Astyanax mexicanus: one gene and its partner. The protein of the gene in region 1 interacts with the protein of each later gene in a pairwise test. Links are inferred from orthologs where the notes say so. Each region holds a gene or a part of one and is shown on either strand. Other genes may lie near its edges. The genes, in order: bcar1 and nphp1.

Region 1 (11,089 bases):
TGAATAAATAAACTGCGAGTCTGAAAACATTTTATGGCTACCATGCCTTTCTCATAACTGTGAAGAGACTTAAACAGAGGACACACACTTACACCATTGTGGACAGTACACACTCTCCCTATTATGTAGTCCCTGCATGCTCTGCTACGCCGTGTGATGGAAAGTGAATCTTCGACAGAGTGGCAGTTTGTGAAATGACAAAGAATAGAGCCGGTGGTACGAGCAAAAGTGGTGAGAAGATGCAGCTTGAGATTCATTTTGGGTAGCGGACGTAAACAAAACTCTGTCCACTACGTACTTTCTCTCTGCTACATTTCAAAACCTGCTTTGTTTTCATATCACGCCCATCCATACCTCAACAAAATCTAAATATGTCTAAGCTGCTGCTTAAATCCATCACTTCAGGTGTACAGGGGTGGATCCTCACATTCTGATAGCAAGGGTTTTGTATAAAGTTGCAGTGGAATTCACTAATTTAATATTTTAAGTTGTTCTTTGATGTGTAATAGTAACTGTGTGACTTTGGTTGGGGCAAAAATAGCTCAGATGCAGTTTTACAAGCATATTTGCCCGTTACATGGACTTAAATAAAACAAATGTTTTCCTGTAAAAATAAAAATACAGAGCACAACATAGCTTTAGCACTTTCCAAATTTCCTTCTGTGTTCTTTGGGTTCTCTCAGTGTTTATTCAGCGCAATTTGCTGGTAAATAGCAGAAGAGACTGTAAGCAGTTGGCTTGGTTAGCTTCTAGCCTAGCAGCCATCAAGTACCCACTTACTTCCTCTGCTTAGTTAGTGGTAACTCTGAATCAGCCAATTCAGTAACCAAACCATCAAAACATCAATTAGCAATCTGACAAGTTATTGTTGCAGGTATATTTCATTTATAGTTGCTTTATTTGTGTTTTTGATTGGTGTTATTTAACGGTCTTAAATTTTTCCTTTAACACTTTAAACTGTCAGTCTGGCTTAAAGAGCAAAGTCTACTATTTATAATCCCAGTTTGGCTAAGGAAAGGGACTGAACTTGTGGACATGCCAATATAATTTTTGCTATTCATATTTACTGTTTTTTACACTACAAATTCCATAGCAATTTCCATTTTCTTTGCACAAAAGGATATTCAGTGTTTGAGTGTTATGATTGAAATACAATTATAGGTGGTTTACACATTGCAGCAATATACATTTTCACTAAACTCCAGGTGTACACCCAACCAGAACCCAATGTGATCAGAGTATGTTCCAATCAATCAGACTACATTGAGATGTTCCAACAGGAGATGGAGAATACAGATGTTTCGTTGATGTTTTTGCTGCAGTTTTCCACTTGCTCACACATTTACAAGATATGAAAGGCATCTGGCCAAATGGTAGTAAGATGCAATCTTGACGCAAAAAGCATGTTATTGCAACTCAATCAAGCTAGCACATGCACAGAGCTGTGTTTTCACCACACAGAAGATTCCACAATGAACAAATGGAATGTAAAAGATATAGGCTGATATATCTTCCCAAGCACATAGCCTGAAGTGGTGAACACCAGAGAACCAGGTTATACTTCCACATTACTTCTACACAGCACTCCACAAACCTCTGCAGCATTTATATTGGTTGCTACTTAAACAGACAGGACCCGAATTAGCCCCTCTCTGCCCCAAGGGACACCGCAGTCTGTTTCCCCCCACCTGTATTTAGAGAGGACCCACCCACCTGTGCTCTGACTGGCTAGCAGGTCATCCTCACTAACATTTTACTGCCTGTAAGCAGGAGGTGGGATTCTCCGGAAAACGGGCAGGAAACAAAATAAGGCATGTTGCCTTGCTCTGTCTCTCTGCAGGCAGAGTGCTATTTCTGTAATTGGCAAGCTTCTAAAGTTTTGTGTCCCTGAGGGCCACTCACTAAATCTCACACGGCTTGAGTAAAACGCAGCCTTAATGCTGCACAGTGGCCAACTGGTGCAGACTGGGACCAGCTGCCGGAATGGGGTTATCTACATATTCAAGATTCAAGTATTCCAATCTTAAATAGTCCATATTTAAGAATATGTAAGACTGTGTGACTATAGTCTACAAAGTATAATCATGATGTACTCAGTGCAGAACCAGTATGTATTCTAAAGAGTTTTTATAACAAGCAAAATCTAGACAGTCAACACTATATCACACACAGTATCACCAAAATGTAAAAAAAAAAAACAGAATGCACTGTAAAAAGTATTATAACCACACTATTCTATGATTAGTTTCTACATATAGAGTTTACACAGTGTAACCATAAGTTATTCCACACATGTATTAAAACGAATAATGAATGTCAGCACCTGAGAGCTCATTGTTAATGTTAACTATTTCAAATGTTTGTTGTAAAACCCAGTGGCTCAGTGAATGTAGTCATAATTTAAAAAGCACCTCTTTGTGACAAACAAACGAGCTCATATTTGGCATATACAACCAATGAGCCTCTTTCTGCCAATTATGTATTTGTTTGTCTCCGGGCTGGACAGAACACTGAATGAGGATTTGGCTTTTCCCTCTACTGTTGTCAGTACAGTGATTTATTTATGGGGGTTGGTACTGTATACGCAGAGTAATAGCTCTGGAAATCCAATCTCGTACCGTACTCTCCAGCTGGTATCAGCCAGTTTGCAGCATAACAACACCCAGGCCAGTTTCCACAGCAGATGAGAGATAACACAACTCCCTACAGGTCTGAGCTGCCTGATATGGGAATCACAGACACGCCATGTTCATGGAACAGCCTATTTGGCCCATTCAAAAATTAAATCATTAATATCGTTATCTTATTGAGTCGTCAATATGAATAATTGACATTTTCCACAATTTCGTGCCATAACACCAAACTGATTTCACAAAGCACGTCTAAACACAGGATTGTATTGTTTACTAAAAACTGTCATATTTAGTTGTTCTGTGATGTATATTTTAATTTTAAGAAACACAGGAATTTTCACCTAAAGCAAATCAACCAGCATGTAAATGTTATTAATGAAATATGTGTATCATTAGTTAGAGTAAAACAAATGATATTGGGTATATATAATCATCAATCTGTTAGATATTGTCATGTACAACTAGAATAGTATGATTTTTTCTTTGTATCAGCAAAAACATTTAAAAAATGTATTTTGCTAAAATGCAGGTAATATATTCACCTGAATATATTAGATCAATGTTGATGTACTGGTATTTATTCTTTTTAACAATCCGTTATAATAATTAATAATAATGCAAACTGAATGTAAATAGTAGCTATTATTACTGAAAAAAGTTAAACACACACTTGTCTGATAGTGAACAGTGTGGGCGTGGTCATAATATTTTAATCAATTACTATTCTAACACTCTGTGACCTGAACTAACAGTATGAGGGGTCTGTCCCAAATGTGTACTAATTGAATAACAGCATTGTAGTCAGAACCACCAGAGTCGAGTCCGAGTCAAAACCAAGACCAGGACATGTCAAGTCCAAGTCAAGACCAAGCTGGGTATACCGGTACACATATTCACAACGCATACATGGAACTGGTCAGCCTTTGAGTGTGTGTATATGGGCACTGGGTAAGCAACAGATTGACATGCAGGGTGTATGTTGCATTACATTTTGGTCATGTTTTTTTTTTTTCTTTTTAAATTTGACAGTGCAGAAATCATTGCACGTCCTGTGGTGTGACTATTGCATGTGTACATTGCGTTATCTGTACAGAAATTATATATTGCGCAGACCTAGTACAAACATATCAATAGGAAGACAGTGGGTTGTGTATAAATTGTGGTAAAAAGAAAACTCAAGCATTATTTATAGTGTAACCTGAACGTTATTACCCAGCTGGCACACAAGGGACCTTCAATGTGTTGAAATGTGGTTGAAATATGTTTGAAGTAATGTCTGTTGTTGTTTCAACGTTGGAACAACGTTGAAACAACATTTAGTGTTAAATAATTGTGAAAACTTTAACATTTTAACAGTAAATCAACATAATTTTTTCAACTTTCTGCCTTTTCTGTGTACAATTTAAAAAAACGGTTGAATGGAGGGATGAAAAAGTGGTTTAATTTCAATTTGCTGTGATTGCATTTTTATTTGGGCACCAATTCTTCATCATACCTTCATCATTCTATTTGTATTGTGTTTTTGAGATCAGATGTTGAATCAGATTGGTAGTGATGGTTTATGGTTAACACTTTGTTAATCATGTGATTTTTTTTAGTTTTAGTGAGCTAGGGTTTAGTAAAGTTTAAACGTACAACGCTGAAACAACGTTGCAATATCAATGTTGACTCACTTTTTAAAATCAACACCAAATAAAACGTTCAACCATAAACTGGCATTTCATCGTTAAAATGCCAGCTAGGTACTGGCTTATATTTTTAAGAACTGGTCAAAAAAGTAAAAATACCATACAAATGAGATATGTGGGAAATGTGAAATGTACAATCAATTCTAGAATTACTTGTTTAAGTGTACTGTATAGAATTCAGTACAGTAATATAATAACACAGTATGTATTATAATAAGAGCAGTAGTCCAGTAGGCTGATATCTATGTAAATACAGCAGGTAGAGTCTGTGGGGACTGTGAAGCTGAAGCTGTTTGTTAGTAAGGTGCTGGAGAAAGTCAGAGGAACAGCTCTCAGAATTCAGCTACAGTCAAGCAGAGCAGCTTCACTGTTCTAACAGATAAATAATAACAATAAGTTAATTTTATCATCATTTCTTACCGGTACAGACATCTTGTGGTCCTTCCCAGTCCACTGCAGCTCTCTGGAGACTGTACCCGACCAGGCTGCTCCGCTCTGGCTGTGTTTAAGAGCGCTCTCACACACAGAGAAGATACAGAGAGAGAGATAACCCCGCGGAATGTGTGAGCTGGTGTCGCGGTCGGTCGGTCGGTGGGTCAGTGCAGCTCTACTCCATGCTGTCCGCTGTATAAACCGGGGCTCCGCGGCGCTCTCTCTCTCTCTCTCTCTGAAGCTGCTGAGAGGTTAGTGTCAGGAATATTCTCCCACCCAGCAGAGCGCAGTCCACCTCAAACGGGAAGCGTTCAGAGCTCCAGTCCCTTCCTCCCTTCCACAGCCTCACCACCCGCACGAAAACACGAGCGAGAGACCCGCGCGCTGCCGTTACTGACCGCTAGCTTCACCGCTAGTTCACGCGCACACTCACTGACCGCGTGAGTACTGCGGCTGTGCGGAGCTGGAGCCTGTCAACTCGCTGCAGAGCCAGAGCCAGTCCCTCTCTCTCTCTCTCTCTCTTTCAGTATCTGTCTCTCAATATCTCTCTCTTTCTCAGTGTCTTTCTCAGTATCTCTTGCTCTCAGTATATCTCTCTTTCTCTCTATCAGCCTCTTTCAGTATCTCTGTCTCTCTCTCTTAGTTTCTCACTCTTTCTCTCTCAGTATCTCTCTCTTTCTATATCCCCTCTCTCTGTGTCTCTCTCTCAACTTCAGTTTAAAGGGACAGTCTCTTGCTATAAGCAGTGGTGTGGTTTCATCCACACCTTCATCCAGGCAGGAAACCGTACTGATTAACAACTCAATAGGAAATATCGATAAATAAACAGTGAAATCCACCTGATGCTAAACTCACAGGATAAAATATTAAACATTTCCAGTAAATTTTTAATGAACACAACACAGCACAGTCCTAAAGTGTGGCTAGAAAACAGTTAAACACATGTTTGACAGAGTACAGTGAGGGCATGGTCCTAATATTTTAATAAGTTAATATTCTAACACTTTGTGACCTGAACTGACAGTATGAGGGGTCTGTCCCAAATGTGTACTAATTGAATAACATCATTGTAGTCAAAACTGCCAAGTCCAGTTCAAATCAAGACCAAGACCAGGATCAGGATATGTCAAGTCCAAGTCAAGATCAAGTTGAGTATACACAAATATGCACAATGCATACATGGAATTGGTCAGCCTTTGAGTGTTTGTATGGGTCCTGTTGGACCATATATCATATATTGTTAAGCAACAGGTTAACAAGCATGGTGTATGTTGCATTTTATTTTGGTCATGCCTATCAACTTGGCTTGGTCATGCTAGTCATCCAGCTTGATGATTCTGGTCAAGGCTAATGAACCAGCTAAGTCTTGGTGATCATGCTGGCTGTGGACCACCAGCTTGGTCATGCAGGTTATGGTGGTCAACCAATTTGGTAATGCTGGTCATGCTGATAATACTGGTTATGCTGGTTGGCCAGCTTGGTTTAAATGGTCCTGCTGTGGAAGATCGGCTTGGTCATGGTATCTACCTTGTTTAGCCTGATCATTCTTGTAGGCCACCTAAAATATCAAACTCCAATAAATACATACCATATATTAGAATTAGTTTATAGTATTAGTATATAGTATATAGTCTACACCTTGTTGTATTAGGGTGTAATACGCATTTAGACACCCTAGTTGTTTCATGTAAAGTGAACTACACTGGTCTTCAAACATTTTAAGAGTAGTTTCGAATGTCAGGTGATGAAAAAACATTGAGTTGAAAGGAAACAAACTGTGCAGGAAGGACTGAACAATGCTTCATCACTGTGCAGGAAGTTGCAATAAACTTTACTAGTCATTGCATGTCTATTGAAGAGCATGCTCATTCGTGTTTGATGATGGGGTTTCAGAATGTTACAAATTTAGAATTCACCTTAGTACCACAGTTCCTTTCACTCACAACATGTTCTCAGTGTAGAGAATATAAGAGCACTGCTTATGCCATGTACACACACTGACTTTCAAGTGACCAGACTGCTTAAGGCTACTGCTCGCATTACACAACCTGTTGTCTTGTAATCATGAATTTTTAAGTCATTGTGGTTTATACAGTCGGGAGAACAAGTATTTGATACGCTGCTGATTTTTCAGGTTTTCCCACTTGCAAAGCATGTGGAAGACTGTAATGTTTATCATAGGTACTCTTCAACTGTGAGTGATGGAATCTAAAACAAAAATCCAGAAAATACATTGTATGATTTTTAAATAATTAATTTCCATTTTATTGTGGGAAATAAGTATTTGATACACCAGAAAAAGAAACTTAATATTTGGTACAGAAACCTTTGTTTGCAATTACAGAGATGAGACGTTTCCTGTAGTTCTTGACAAGGTTTGCACACACTGCAGCAGGGATTTTGGCCCACTCCTCCATACAGATCTCCTCCAGAGCCTTCAGGTTTCGTGGCTGTCGCTGGGCCACACAGACTTTAAGCTCCCTCCAAAGATTTTCTATTGGATTCAGGTCTGGAGACTGGCTAGGCGCTCCAGGACCTTAAAATGTTTCCTACGGAGCCACTCTTTAGTTGCCCTGGCTGTGTGTTTTGGGTCGTTATCATGCTGGAAGACCCAGCCACGACCCATCTTCAGTGCTCTTACTGAGGGAAGGAGGTTGTTGGCCAAAATCTCACGATACATGGCCCCATCCATCCTTCACACAGTTGTCCTGTCCCCTTTGCAGAAAAGCATCCCCAAAGAATGATGTTTCCACCGCCATGCTTCACGGTTGGGATGGTGTTCTTGGGGTTGTACTCATCATTCTTCTTCCTCCAAACATGACGAGTGGAGTTTAAACCAAAAAGTTCTATTTTTGTCTCATCAGACCACATGACCTTCTCCCATTCCTCCTCTGGATCATTCAGATGGTCATTTGCAAACTTCAGACGGGCTTTGGCTTGAGGAAGGGCACCTTGCGTGCACTGCAGGATTTTAATCCTTGACGGCGTAGAGTGTTACTGATCGTTTTTTTGAGACTGTGGTCCCAGCTCTATTCAGGTCATTGACCAGGTCCTGCCGTGTAATTCTGGGCTCATTCCTCACCTTCCTCAAGATCGATGCTCCACGAGGTGAGATCTTGCATGGCGCCCCAGACCGAGGGAGATTATCCGTTATTTTTGCATTTCTTCCATTTTCTAATAATTGCACCAACAGTTGTTGCCTTCTCACCAAGCTGCTTGCCTATTGTCCTGTAGCCCATCCCAGCCTTGTGCAGGTCTACAATTTTATCCCTGATGTCCTTACACAGCTCTCTGGTCTTGGGCATTGTGGAGATGCTGGAGTCTGACTGATTGAGTGTGTGGACAGGTGTCTTTTATACAGGTAACGAGTTCAAACAGGTGCAGTTAATACAGGTAATGAGTGGAGAACAGGAGGGCTTCTTAAAGAAGAAGTAACATGTCTGTGAGAGCCAAAATTCTTTCTGATTGATAGATGATCAAATACTTATTTCCCACAATAAAATGGAAATTAATTATTTAAAAATCATACAATGTATTTTTCTGGATTTTTGTTTTAGATTCCATCACTCACAGTTGAAGAGTACCTATGATAATAATTTCAGTCCTCCACATGCTTTGCAATTGGGAAAACCTGAAAAATCAGCAGTGTATCAAATACTTGTTCTCCCCACTGTACACGACTGCTGATCAGGGACAGGGTGTGATAAATTACAAACTACTGGAGTCAGACTTCCTGAAAGGTCCAAGTTGCATCCAACCATCATCCATGAACAGCATCATCCAAAAACACCTCACAGCGAAACCATTGCCTGAGGCAACACTGATAACAGTTATCTATACTGAATCAAATTTTCCAGTTTCTAATGACTTAGGTCAGAAGAGGTATATAGGGTCATGGAGATCAATGTGCAAACTAAAAGCTCAGTGTTTGCTGCCACAGTCTTTTGCAGTCACTTAATGATTCTTGACCACCTGCCTCCTCAGGAGTCTAGTGTCAGCCAGTAATAATGTCCTCTTTCTGCCTCTTTCTGCCACCATAAGGTGCAGCCAGTGAACTAGTGAAATATGCATCAGCTGTGTCTGTCAGAACGTTCAGTGCCATTGCTATCTTTTTGTATCCTTTTTCAGGTTTGTGCAAGTCAGTGGTCTTTTCTCTAAACCTTTTGATCTGATCTCTTTTCCCTTTCTAAGAAAATGTTAACATGCAGTCAAACCTCACAGCCAACAAACCACTAGCTGCTCCAAGTATTGGATGCTTTTGTACTAATAAACCTTGCAAGGGGTTTGAAATGTGTTCTGTCAAAAAAAAAAAAAAAAACCATACAAAATCATGCTACCAAATATTACCAAAGACAAAACACTATTATGTAAGCTATGGGACACGTTTATTATTTGATTAAAATATATACATAACAGAACTGGAGTATGAGAGATCTGATCTTCAATATGAATAACATTTTCTGTGACCATTTAATAAAGCCTGACTTTGCATGAAGTTATCTGACTAACTGCAACATTTCAGCTCATGAAGAACCCAGATTAGGTGCTCCAGACGTCAGTCATCTGTTTTTGTCTTCAGGCTGAAAACACAATTCCTGTAAATTGGACGAGGTCATTCTGACAGCTTGTAGTAGTAGATGTCAAAATTTGAGCACTCACTTTAATGAAGCTCTCACAGTGTTATGATGTCAGCTTGTCAGGATCGGCTGTATAATGCTTCCCATCACAAGATCATGCAGAGGGGAGCAATGTTCAGCATGATCGACAGGAGAACCAGTGTTTTTCAGAGCCAAAATGTCGTTCTTTATTTAACTAGACATTTTTACCATCTGTACCAGTAATTCACAGAAAAAGATTTCTCTGTTAGCTGGATGATGTGGTGCTCCTCCGATTGGACAAGACTGATTTAGTTTTAATTCAGTGCAACGTGTATAAAAAAAACTTTACATTCTTCTTCTTAATGTGATTTTAAAGTAAAAATTAAGTACAACAAACCAATTGCCTCATCTAACTTAATTCACACTAACTGACTAAATAACCTGTGTTGGCAAAATTTACAAATTGTAGTTGAAGCCTAGCTGAAACCAGACCAGTATACTCTGCACATGCTCAGTCTGACGCTGAAGGGGGTCTAAGCATTTGGTTGTACATTGATATTGCTGCTTGTGTGTGAACTACAGCCATTTTAAATAAAAATTAGACCCTTCTCATTGGCTCCTGGCAACTAAACGAAAGTTTTTTTTTTTTACTTTATAAAAAGTTCGAGTTGCCCTTTCCCTAAAAATCTAGTGCAGTAAGAAAACAAGGACTTAAGAAAATTGTTTAGGGCCTACCACGGCAGCATTATCTTTATTATTTAGTAATATTAACCTTCTGAACCCTAGATCTTTAATCATAATGAATAAATGCCTATAAGACATTTGCTAACAGTTAAGAGTCCCACAGGGTTCCATGATGGTATATATAAAATTGCTGTTATTTCACTGAGAATTGCAGAACTGCAGTTATGAGGGCAAAAAAAAAACTGAAGTACATGGTTTAACGGTTAAGGCACTGGATTTTAGAACATTACTGTAACCAAAAGACCCCAGAAAAGAAAGAAGAACAGAATAATGGTTATTTCACCAGATGTAGTGTATGGACTCTTTCACTCACCAGAGGCATCTTTTCCCAAAGATGATTTCTGACGGCAGCAGCCTTGAACACTGAAAATGGCTTTTAATTATACACTTAATCAGGGGCAGAAGGACAGGGGTTCAATTGTGACCTTCAAATAGTTGTATTATCCCTCACCTCCTTGCTGTAATCAGTACATTGTATGTTAGGAAGAACGCTGTACCTTTGGGAAACGTGAAATTAGTTTTAATAGTTTTAGCTTATAAATGTGCTAGGGGTCTGGAACAAGGGTTCAAACAGCTCCTGCCTCAGAAACCTCTTCCTCACTTCATTAAAATAATGCAGAGCTTCTGAAAATTTTAATATTTTCAGCTTATTTTTAAAATCTTACACAGCAGAATCTCAGAAAATTAAATGAAGTTGTTGTGTAGAGGCAACATACACTAGTGTAGATAAACTTGAAATCATATTTTTGCTGTTTTTTTTTTTAAATCGTTCATGTTTCAATGCTTGGTACATGTATGTCATACAACAAATGTCAGCAAGTATGACGTTGAAATATAATTCCGATATCATTGTGCATCTATACTTTATAGAAAAGAACATTATAAAGTACATGGGGCTACTGCAATGTGAAAATTCAACCATGGGATTAAAAATTGCTTGATCTATCCATCTATCTATTTTTTTGCTGTAAGTGCTGCATGGTGGGAAATCAAA
Region 2 (10,687 bases), on another chromosome or scaffold:
TTGACAAGTTTAGTACAGCTGTTAACTGAAAGTCTTTAACATTAACATTAACTCTACCTCATAAAGCTGACTGAGAAAATGCAAAGATGGGCAAAGCTGTCATCTAAGCAAGAGGTGCCACTTTGAAAAGATTTTGTTTACAAAATAATGTTATATGTTTTTTTCCATAGTTTGAATGAATTGAAATTGAAATAATCCAGTTTTGGGTTTATTTATGAGACAGTTACTCCAAAAAAATCAGAATAAACGTTTTTGAAACCACTGATTTCTAAGCAAGTATATTAAGACATATGTACAATCATACACAACTTTTGTGAGTATCCCGAAATGTGATCAACAAATCCCCCGCATTGTCTAACATCACACTGTGCAACATGAAAAATGGTGGCTGCAAGGTTTGTTCACACCTGCTTCTTGGGGAAACTGCAGAGTAGTCATTTTGAAATGAGTAATAATAAAATAATATTCACAAACAACCATTAACAGTGGCTGCACTGTTAAAAATTAAAAAAATATTTTTACCATGCAGTACTGTTTCTGTTGTTCTTAGCCATGTAAAAAGGTTAAAGCCACCTCAACTTGGGAACTCAGGTATCAGAATATTCCCACTAGAAATGATCTTACATTATTACATTACACAACACTTAAACATCACATGAATGCAGTCTTAATGAGATATAATCGTGATCAATTTTAGCCCATAAGAACCCAGACCCAGTTGTGAATATTGATGCAAAAAATAATAAACAATGTGCAATTAAATATTTTTGTTCTTTTACTTATATGAAACAACTATTTTCATTCTTACTTATAACCTATATATAACCTAGTTAACTAAATAGTAGTATTATTTTTTTCGCGATTGTGATGTTGCGTTTGAACCTTAAGGCTTTCTGTAGTCCCCCTGATCACGTGGCCCTTTATAGGACGCATCCCAAACGGCTTCTTGCTCCCTATCTAGAACACTAAAACGCGAAATGAAATCTCTAAAAGGCATCTCGAGACTCTTTAGTGCACTACACGTCAGTGCAGAAGGCGTTTGAGACTCGCCCACAGCTAGACGCCCTCTCTCAGGCTGTTCGCTGCAGCGCGCTGGGGAGCAGCTGGAGATATTTGGAGTGCCGCTGCGGAGGTGAACATGGCCGACGTGTCGGAGAGGACGTTACAGGTCGCTATCCTGGTCTCGTTTGCCACGGGCTTCGTCGCGGGCTGGCAGGCCAACAGGATGCGCAGGAGGTTCCTGGACTGGCGGAAGAAACGGCTCCAGGACAAGCTGGCGGAGACGCAGAAGAAGCTGGACCTGTCGTGACCTGCGGGGTCAGGTCTGATAACTGCCGGCCTGGTGAGAGCTGGGCTGTGTCCCATTAAGACCCAGAGTTCTAAACTAAAAACAACAAAACTGTCCATAAATGTTAGTGAATAAGCTGTTATGGGTTTTAGATTTACACTCTGTACAGTTGTCACTGTTTACTGTAGGCCTGGGTTCACAGTGTTTGAGGTGTCTCACGATACGATATTATCACAATACATTGTTCACGATACTGTTTTCAATTCTCTACGGCACTTTGCGGCAGTAACTTAAGTAAGTCTTAGGGCCTTTAAAGCTCTTATGTTTCTAAAAAGCTCAACGTCTAACTCCACGTATTCATAATGTCTCACGAACGAAAAAAAAATACACTATATCAAGATATTAATATTTTTCTCCCACCCCTAAAATTTGACATTTTTAAAACTTTGTTTATCGAGTTTTTAAAGTACTTGGCATTTATATAAGTATATAAGTATACTCACAACTTGCACAGTATAAATGCATAACCATACATCAAGATTTAGTAATGAAGTAATAGGCAAATAGGCCAGTACAAAGGCCCAAATATTGAAAAGGCTAACATGGAAATCAAAAACGGAAAGAAGAAGGGAGGAAAAAAAAGGTTCAACTAAACCAAAAACTTGTTTCCTTAACAAGTGCCAAATTTCTTCTCCACCCATTAACTTCCTATCATCCCAACATGCATCCAGTCTCCTATATTAAAAACAAAACCCAGTGAAATTAGATTTTAACACTTGCAATATATGTATCGTATTAACAGCCAATTAACAGCCCTGTTGTTTATTATTTAAATAAATATTTGATGCCACATATTGATACAAGACAATACAATATGATCGAAACAATACAACATTATATTGTGCCCCTAATAATTATATATAACTGAATTGGGGCTGCAGAGTATATTGTATAGTGCAATGTTAATGTAACATGCCTTATACAAAATGCCTTATACAAAATGAAATTCATACCAAAGAATGATTTTAAATCATTGTTTTTTTGTTGGTGCATGTGCTAGCATATTAAAAATGTTCAGTGTTCAATACATATTTTTGTTTTGTGGTTTTACCACACTATCAAATTTTATTACTTTTTTAAGTAACAAAACCTGAGAAAAATGTTTTGTTTAATAAACTAGTTCAGTAATTACCCTCAAATAGTTAAAACAGTCACTCAAGAGGAATTCAGACTCTACATTTTTATATTTCTACTGTCCAATGAAAACCATGCATCTCCATTTCTATCCATTTTAGCTGCTCAGAATAAATCTTTCAGGAAGAATATATCAGTATAAATGCTCTAAAATGTAAGACTACTGGGAAAAATCTCTTATTTTCATTTAAATTTCTTTCATTTCATTTCATTTCCTTCCATGTAAAGTCCTCATTTTGGCTTAAAGCTACTGTCATAGGCTACATGGAATTGAGAATAACTGGTCACTGCCAGCTCACCCATACCCTTTAATGCAATAGAAGACCCAATTAAGGTCATTTTCACTTCACTAAAATATGATCTTAAATTTTGTCCTTTAGGCCGCATGAAATCAATGGTGTCCTTGCCCTGCTGAGACCCCCTTCGACCCCTCTGACCCCTTTGATGGACTCAACTCTGGATAAGAAGTCACCTTCAGCTGTTCTGCCAATCTTCTGTTCCCTCCTGAGACCTTTAAACACTATGCACACACTGCAGTGTTGCATTGCAGTGCAGTTCTCAAAAACATATTTTTTATGGGGATAAATGTTTTATTTTGTTGTTTTTTAATAACAAGTTGTTTACAAGGTATTATTCTAAGCCATAATATTGCTGTTAATAAGCTTGTACCATCATGTTGGAATAAAATAAACTATTTTGTTACTTTAAATGTATGCTATTGTATTAACTTGTCCACAAGAAACGCTGTATTCCTGAAGCACTGCAAAAATTATAAGATGTTTTTTGTTGTTAAACTGTAGTTTGATTTTTTTTTTTTGTCAATATTACAAAAAAAAAAATCTGTTTTTCTGTTTTTTATAGATTGTGTACTGTCTTCCAGAATCTGCTATTGATTAATTGAATCCATTCTCCCATCTACCAGAATCTAAACACCAGCCAGTGTGTTCATGGCAAATCAATGTGAAATGATCAGAGTTGCAATGAGGCCTGATGGTGGGTGCTAGATGGTTGGGACATCCCTTAATCCATAGTGTCACATGTGGATTATCAATGCAGTTTGTCATAGGACAGAGGTTGCTAACTTGGAGGTCATAACCCTCAAGAAGGTCCTGTCATAGTCCCTGGGACCACAAGAAAAAAAAAGAACATTGGGTACAAAACCTCATTATTTCAGTTTTTTTTAGTATATTAAAGAAGAAACTGGTTTTAATTAATTTTCCATTCCTGTTTTCATGTCTGTTCCCAAAATATACTTTTCTTGATTCAATTTTATTTTTGCATATCGTATCAAAAATCAGATGGTATAATCAAATGTATTTTTTCCTGAAATTAAGATTGTAATGGGCAGAAAAAAAGTTTTACACTGAGTCTTCATGTTCTAATTTAGCCTGATATGGTCACTAAATAACTGATTAATGTTACACTGACCCTGGTTGACCAGCATGACCAGAGCCAAATGCAACACATTCTTATTCAAGTCAAGAGCTGGCTAACCAACAAGCTTACCAGTATGGGGGTATGTTATGCATTACCAGTTTTTAAACCACCTTGGCCATTAAAGGCATCTACCAGCACAAGCTGCTCTTCAGGTGGGGTTTTTCAGCAGGAGAAAGTGCAGCTGTTTTATCTGCTGAATCGGTCAATTAAGGCTGCCATCTAGTGGCTGAGAGGAGCAACTGCTTCCTCATAGTATACATAGTATAGCATGGTATCTAATAATGACTTATTATCTTATAATTAGATATATAATTAGACTTAGTAACTCGATATTATGACTTAGCATTTTATAATTATGACTTAATATCTCGTAATAATGACAGTATCTCGTTATAATGGCTCTGCATCTCATCCGTGTGACTTAGTACCTCAATATTATGACTTAGCATTTCATAATTAGACTTAATATCTCGTAATAATGACAGTATCTCGTTATAATGGCTCTGCATTTCATAAATATGGTTTAGTACCTCAGTAATGACTTACCACTTTATAATTCTAACATAGTATCTCATAATAATGGCTTAGTATCTCATAATAATAAATTAGTACCTAATAATTTTGACTTAGTAAATCATAATTTCATCTTGGCATCTAATAACAACTAAACGTTTTACTTCTTACTGACATGGATAAATTATATGTGCTCTTCTACGAGTCTTTAATGTTTTTGTAAGATTTATCATTGTAGCTTACCATAATGTAAAAAAGTTGAGTTTACGACATATTAAAAAATCGCCTGTGCGCATTTCTTTTTATAGCTCATGAATATGTATGAGCTTTCGACCAATCAGGGATGGCCATGCCTGTTCCTTAGGCAACTATTTATTTACACACCTCTAACTTAAAAAGCACTCACACAACAAGCTATAAACCACACGATAAGCCTAATACTTTTAGGACTGGCAGGAGGTGCATTGCAATACCAACCTACCTCACTGTAACTTCTTTTAAACGCCTATTACAGTAAAATCAAGATTTTACTACTTTAATAGTTCCCAATGAGTAACATAGCTTAATCATAATAAAGAATAATGATGAATAAATATATTAAGAAATACATTTAAAATATTTAAAATATATTTTGTTGATGTTATGTAAAAAATCTAAAAAAAAAAAATTATTATAAATTAAAATGCTCTAACTTATTTTTATTTTTCAGTAACATTCAACATTGTCTTAGCAACCCCTACGCTATTGTTGACCAAGTGATTTTATTATTTTAATAATGAGTGAACTTAGTACTGTATGTGTGCATATATTTCAGTAAGTTAACTACTTTTTTATTTAGTTTTACCTTTCATTTGCACACTTTTTTGTTCCTTATCTGTAAATTGTTCCTCCTAGCTCGTATATATATATATATATATATATATATATATATATATATATATATATATATTCATTCGCACATCAATTTAAACTTTTTAGCACTTTTTTAGCGCAAATAAATATACACTTGAATCAATACAGGCCTCAAATATTTTTAATGAATCGGTTCAATGAATCAAACCACCATCGATTGAACATTTTAATTACTGAAATATTCCTCTGTTGCTATTAATTAATGAAGACTGAATGATAAGTTGTTAATTTATTTATTATGAATCACACCCTGTTACAATTATTTATAAACATTTCTCCAAAACCACAACGAAGATTCGATTAAAAAAAAGAATCGGTTCAAATGATCCGAAGAGTTGGCCATCACTCTTAGCAACCATCTGCGGCGTCCTCCACAGAGCGGTGTGGGATTCCTGTGTTAAAGTAAATCAGCGCTGATTTAACGAGGTTTTAACCGGTTATGGGACTAATTTTGACTGGAGGTTTTGTAGGAAGAGTGGAATAATATGGCTCCGAGAAAGAAAGGTCCTCTGCAAACGGTGCAAAAGGAAACAGACGACATTAAAAAACGGGTTTGTATCAGGTCCTTTCATAGAGAGATAGAGAGAGAGAGAGAGAGAGAGAGAGAGAGAGAGAGAGAGACCCCGCTGATGTGGTGCCGTGTTTTGTACAACGGAGAAATCCTACACCCCCTGGTTTTGATTGATTGCTTCTGAGGACCAATGCTGTAGTTCCCGTCATTGCCTGTTTATTTTAGGACGTGTTTTCTATAGATTTAATTGACCTTATTTTTACATATAAGTAAATATATATGTAGGAGCACAGTGGCGTGTCATCTGACTCATTTTATTGTGTGTATTGTACTTTACTCTGGTTTAGTTTTACCCAGGCGTTTTTAAAATCAGGCAGCCAATATAGCTCATAAATGGGTCCTTGAGATGCAGGGTATGCCAAAAAAGCACAAAATGGCACAACATCAGTTATGTTAAGCAGATTTTCCGAACGTTTTTTTTTACGTTTCAGTTGTTTATTGGGTTCAGTATATGTACATAAAGGAAAGAGTTTATCCGTTCATTACCCAGATAGACAGCAGAAAGACGTTGAAACAATGTTGAAGTTTGTGCACATCGATTTTTACATTGATTTAGCACTGATTCAACGTCAGGGTTTAAAATGTATTGGTAGTATTTCAATTTTGTTAAATGAAATATGTAAATATATGTTTGTATTTTATTGTTATAGCTTGTACTATGTTTTTGCGGTGTAGACAACTACTATTTACTACGATTTTAACAACAATAATAACAACAACAACAACAATAATAGTATTATTGTATCAATATTTATCATTCAGTGAAATCAGTTTTTAATGCTGTGGGCTGTTTATTGGTTTTACCTGTGCTGTAGGTCGACGCTTTGGTGCGGGATGTGAACAGACTGGGTGTGTCTGAGGGAACAGAGTCACTACAGAGGTACAGAGAGTTGGATTTGAGTTGGATTCTCTCTTTATTATTCTTTATCAAACATATTAGTTGAACTTTTTAAGACTTGCTACTGATTTTTACTTTGGGTTGATTCCTCTTTACAGGTGTTCAGAGCTGCAGAACACAGTGACTGCGACTTTGGAGAGGCTCAAGAAGTTAACGAAAGTAATATTTCTCTATATATTTGATGCACTTTAAAACAAAAAGGCGTATGACTGGAGTAAATGACTAAAATAAGTATGAGTGATGGTGTCTCTTTGTTTTTTTGTCACTCTCTTTTTCTGTCGCTCTGGGTTCAGGCGGAGGAGTCAGCTCCAATAGGGAACTATGAGCAGCTTAAAAGAGATGAAGAGGAACGTCTCAGGGCTCAACAGGACCGACTGAAAGCTCTGGCACAGAAGCTGCAGCCTGAGGACAAGTACAGTATAGAATTCTTTATTAAATTCCAACACAAACAGTGGAGACCTCCTAGAAGAATCAGGGTAAAAAAAAAAACAAGGTCAATAACGAGAGAGTAAACATAGGCAAGGAATAAACACATTGTAAAGTGGTAGACCAACAAAACTTAGCTACTTCTTAGAAAACGAAATAGTCTCTCTCTGTATATTACAATACTAATGATGGAATAAGGATCCAGTTTGTTCACAGCCTCTGTAATTCACTCCCAGCTCAACGGAGGGTGAGGAGGACAGTGCTGAAGAAGACAGCGAGGAGGAGGATGAAAGCCAGGAAGAAGATGAGGAAGATGATGTTCACAATGATAAAACCAAAGAAGATGCTGCTGACGATGAAGTTGATGAAACTGCACAAAACTACACAGCTAGAAAGGGCATTAGAACCTATGTGGCTCTTAGTGACTTCACAGGAGAGGAGGAGGGGGACCTTACTGTACAGGTAATTAAAAATACACACATTTGCTCATATTTTTCAACATTCCTCATACCAAATTTTCATAAACATGAAAGTATGCTTTTAATACTATGATGTTTTTTTTTATTTAAACCTTTGAAAAATGTGGACTTGCTTACACTGTCACCAATGTACTGAATACATTACATTGAATCATAACCCCTAGATTGTGATATGTAGTCTATCGTTGAGATCTTGCCAATAAACAGACCTAATGTCGTATGGTTTAAAAATTCGTCTCAGATCACCTCCTGAAGGGGTTTGAGCGACTGGACTTGGTGTTGTATCTGTTTGAACTGTTATGGGTGTGTTTTTACTTGAGTTTTTCAATGTGGCTTGGTCTTTCCAGATATAATCCTGATACATAAGAGTTCCAAAATGACAAAGTATAAATGGGGTCACTTAGGTCCAGTGTTGGGCACGTTACTTTGAAAAAGTAATTAGTTATAGTTACTAGTTACTTCTCCAAAAAAGTAACTGAGTTACTAACGGAGTTACTCCACTATAAAAGTAACTAGTTACCAGTAAAAGTAACTATTGCGTTACTTCGCCCTGTAAAAATAAATAAATAAAGAATAAATAAAGAAAATAAATGATGTAATTACTATTATTATTAGAAAAATAACAAACAAAAATAAACCCAAAATGTTGACAAAAATATAGTCTAACGAATAAAAAAAAATAAGAAACGAAAAACTCCACAGGACCAAAGAAAATTACTAAGACATGTAATACTGAAAAAAAACGGAAAAAACAAGTACACGTCTGGGGATAAAAATTAAACAAACCAAACCACACTCAAAGAAATAAATGTATATATAAACAAAACAAAAGAATGGACAAAAACAACAATCCGTTAAAAAAACTCATTTAAATCCATTAAAAAACTCATTTAAAACAATCACAGGCTTTTTGCGCAGAATAATAAAAGTTTCGGTTAGTTTCAGTTTCAAATCATGAAAACAGCTCACCAAAACCTCAACCTATCCTTTATATTTGACAATATTTGATTAACTTACAGGTCCTTACTTATTTTTATTTAACTGAACTGAGTTGTAAATTATTTATAGCCTCGCGCTGAATTCAGCTCTGTGCTGCGAAAGAGAGAGAGAGAGAGAGAGGCGCAGCGCATTTTGCCTGATTTCTCTTTATTAATTAACAGTACATTTGTTGGCTTTAGTAAGTTTAATAACATTAATTTTAGTATACTTGTCAGATCTTATTTATAAAAACTTTTTTTAGAAGACAGAGGTTATTCTGCGCGCAATGCCGCGCCGCTGCGCCAAGCACCACTTTGCGTGCCTGACATTTCAGAGCGCTGGACGAGATTTTAATTCATGAATTAATATATTTAATATTTTAATAAATTTGCCCTGGTGATAAGAAACGAATGCTAACATATAGCGTTATATTTCTGTGTATTTCAAATGTTTTAAGTTTTATATAATTGACGGGCAGCACCAGCGCCAGATTGACAATGTGCTTTGTTTTTCAGATATAAAAGTGAAATTCAGTTAAATAATAGCAAAGTTAACTAAAATAAATTTATGTTCAGTCAAAGTTATTTTCTCTTTTAATTTTCCATTTCAAAACTCCAGCATTTGAGTGAGAATAAGCATCTGTTGAAATTTTTAAACAGCAGAATGCCTAGTTACAGTTATTTAGTCTGTGTACTAAACATAAATATAAATCCTTATAACTGACAGAAATAAATATAACTAATAATAATTTATAGTTACAGTGCAGATTTTTAAGTATATATATTTTTTCATAGTTGATTGCTGAAGGCTCTGGGTGTGGTTTATTTTTATGTGGTAAAGATGTGATGGTATGGAGTATTTTGGAGCGCAGGGTGAGCAATCGCGCTAAGCTTTTTTCCGCCGCCAAGATAAAAACACGCCAGAAATTTACCTCAACACACATCATTTCCAGACCACCACGCCCATCGGTGTTAATATATTCCAAAGTCCAACGCTATTTTAAGGACGCGTGCAAGGCCTAAAAATAGACTGTTGACGGTGGCAAAGCGCCACGCTACACGCCTTGTGCGGGGTGTATGATAGGGCTCTTTGTCTGTATGCGCAAAGTTAAAAAAAAGTTCATTCAGCTGCTAAAGTAACGTGCAGTAACGGAGTGTCGAAAATGGTAACGGCGTTATAGTTACAGTCAGAGTAATTAGTTAGATTACTCGTTACTGAAAAAAGTAACGGCGTTAGTAACGCCGTTTATTTTAACGCCGTTACTCCCAACACTGCTTAGGTCAGGTACTGATGTTGGTTGATTAGCTCTGAATGTATTGAATCAGGCTTCTTTTCCCGTGAGAACACCGTTCCAATGCTATAAAGGGTTACCCAAGCTGCATTTACAAGAAAAAGTAGGAGAACTCTTTGTGATTACTTGGATTTATGCATAAATTGGTCATTAAATATATTACGATCTTTATCTATAGCACAACAATAGACAAACACAGTCTGCTTAAACTAATACCATAAAACTGTATGTTTGCATGTTTTTACTAAACACTACATGTTAAGATTCACAGTGCAGGGTGTAAAAAGTATGTGAAACTTTTTTTGGATTTAATAACTGGTTGACCCCTACTTTGGCAGCAATGCACAACAGTCAGGAGGAATTTTGGACCATTTCTCCTTACAAAACTGGTGTATCTGGTGTGAATCATGTGCTCTCTTGAGGTCATGATGCCACAGCATCTCAATTGAGTCGAGGAGGTCAGGACTCTCCAGAAAGCGCTTTGTTTATTGTCTTCTGTTGAAGCCACTCGGTTGTTGATTTACTTCTATGTTTTGGGTCGTTGTCCTGTTGCATAATCCATCCTCTGTTGAGCTTCATTTGGCGGACAGACGGTCTTAAGTTTTCCTGCAGAATGTCTTGATTATCTTGAGAAATACATTTTTTCGTTCATGACGGCAATCCGCCCAGGCCCTGAGGCAGCAAAGCAAAGCAGCCCCAA

Evidence for each region.
Region 2: the proteins of bcar1 (region 1) and nphp1 interact in a two-hybrid assay, tested with the Homo sapiens proteins (2 studies listed by BioGRID). The link is inferred for Astyanax mexicanus from reciprocal best matches to the Homo sapiens genes BCAR1 and NPHP1.

What each region holds. Positions count from the first base shown.
Region 1 is NC_064416.1:26,068,307-26,079,395, reverse strand, and holds the start of bcar1 (breast cancer anti-estrogen resistance protein 1), read right to left. Parts: upstream 5,326-11,089; 5' UTR 4,754-5,325; coding exon 4,742-4,753; intron 1-4,741. UniProt on the Homo sapiens protein: Docking protein which plays a central coordinating role for tyrosine kinase-based signaling related to cell adhesion. Implicated in induction of cell migration and cell branching. Involved in the BCAR3-mediated inhibition of TGFB signaling.
Region 2 is NC_064421.1:42,785,342-42,796,028, forward strand, and holds the start of nphp1 (nephrocystin-1), read left to right. Parts: upstream 1-5,679; 5' UTR 5,680-5,829; coding exon 5,830-5,895; intron 5,896-6,730; coding exon 6,731-6,795; intron 6,796-6,911; coding exon 6,912-6,972; intron 6,973-7,106; coding exon 7,107-7,225; intron 7,226-7,475; coding exon 7,476-7,701; intron 7,702-10,687. Other genes in the region: mitoregulin, read left to right, coding at 1,139-1,309. UniProt on the Homo sapiens protein: Together with BCAR1 it may play a role in the control of epithelial cell polarity. Involved in the organization of apical junctions in kidney cells together with NPHP4 and RPGRIP1L/NPHP8. Does not seem to be strictly required for ciliogenesis.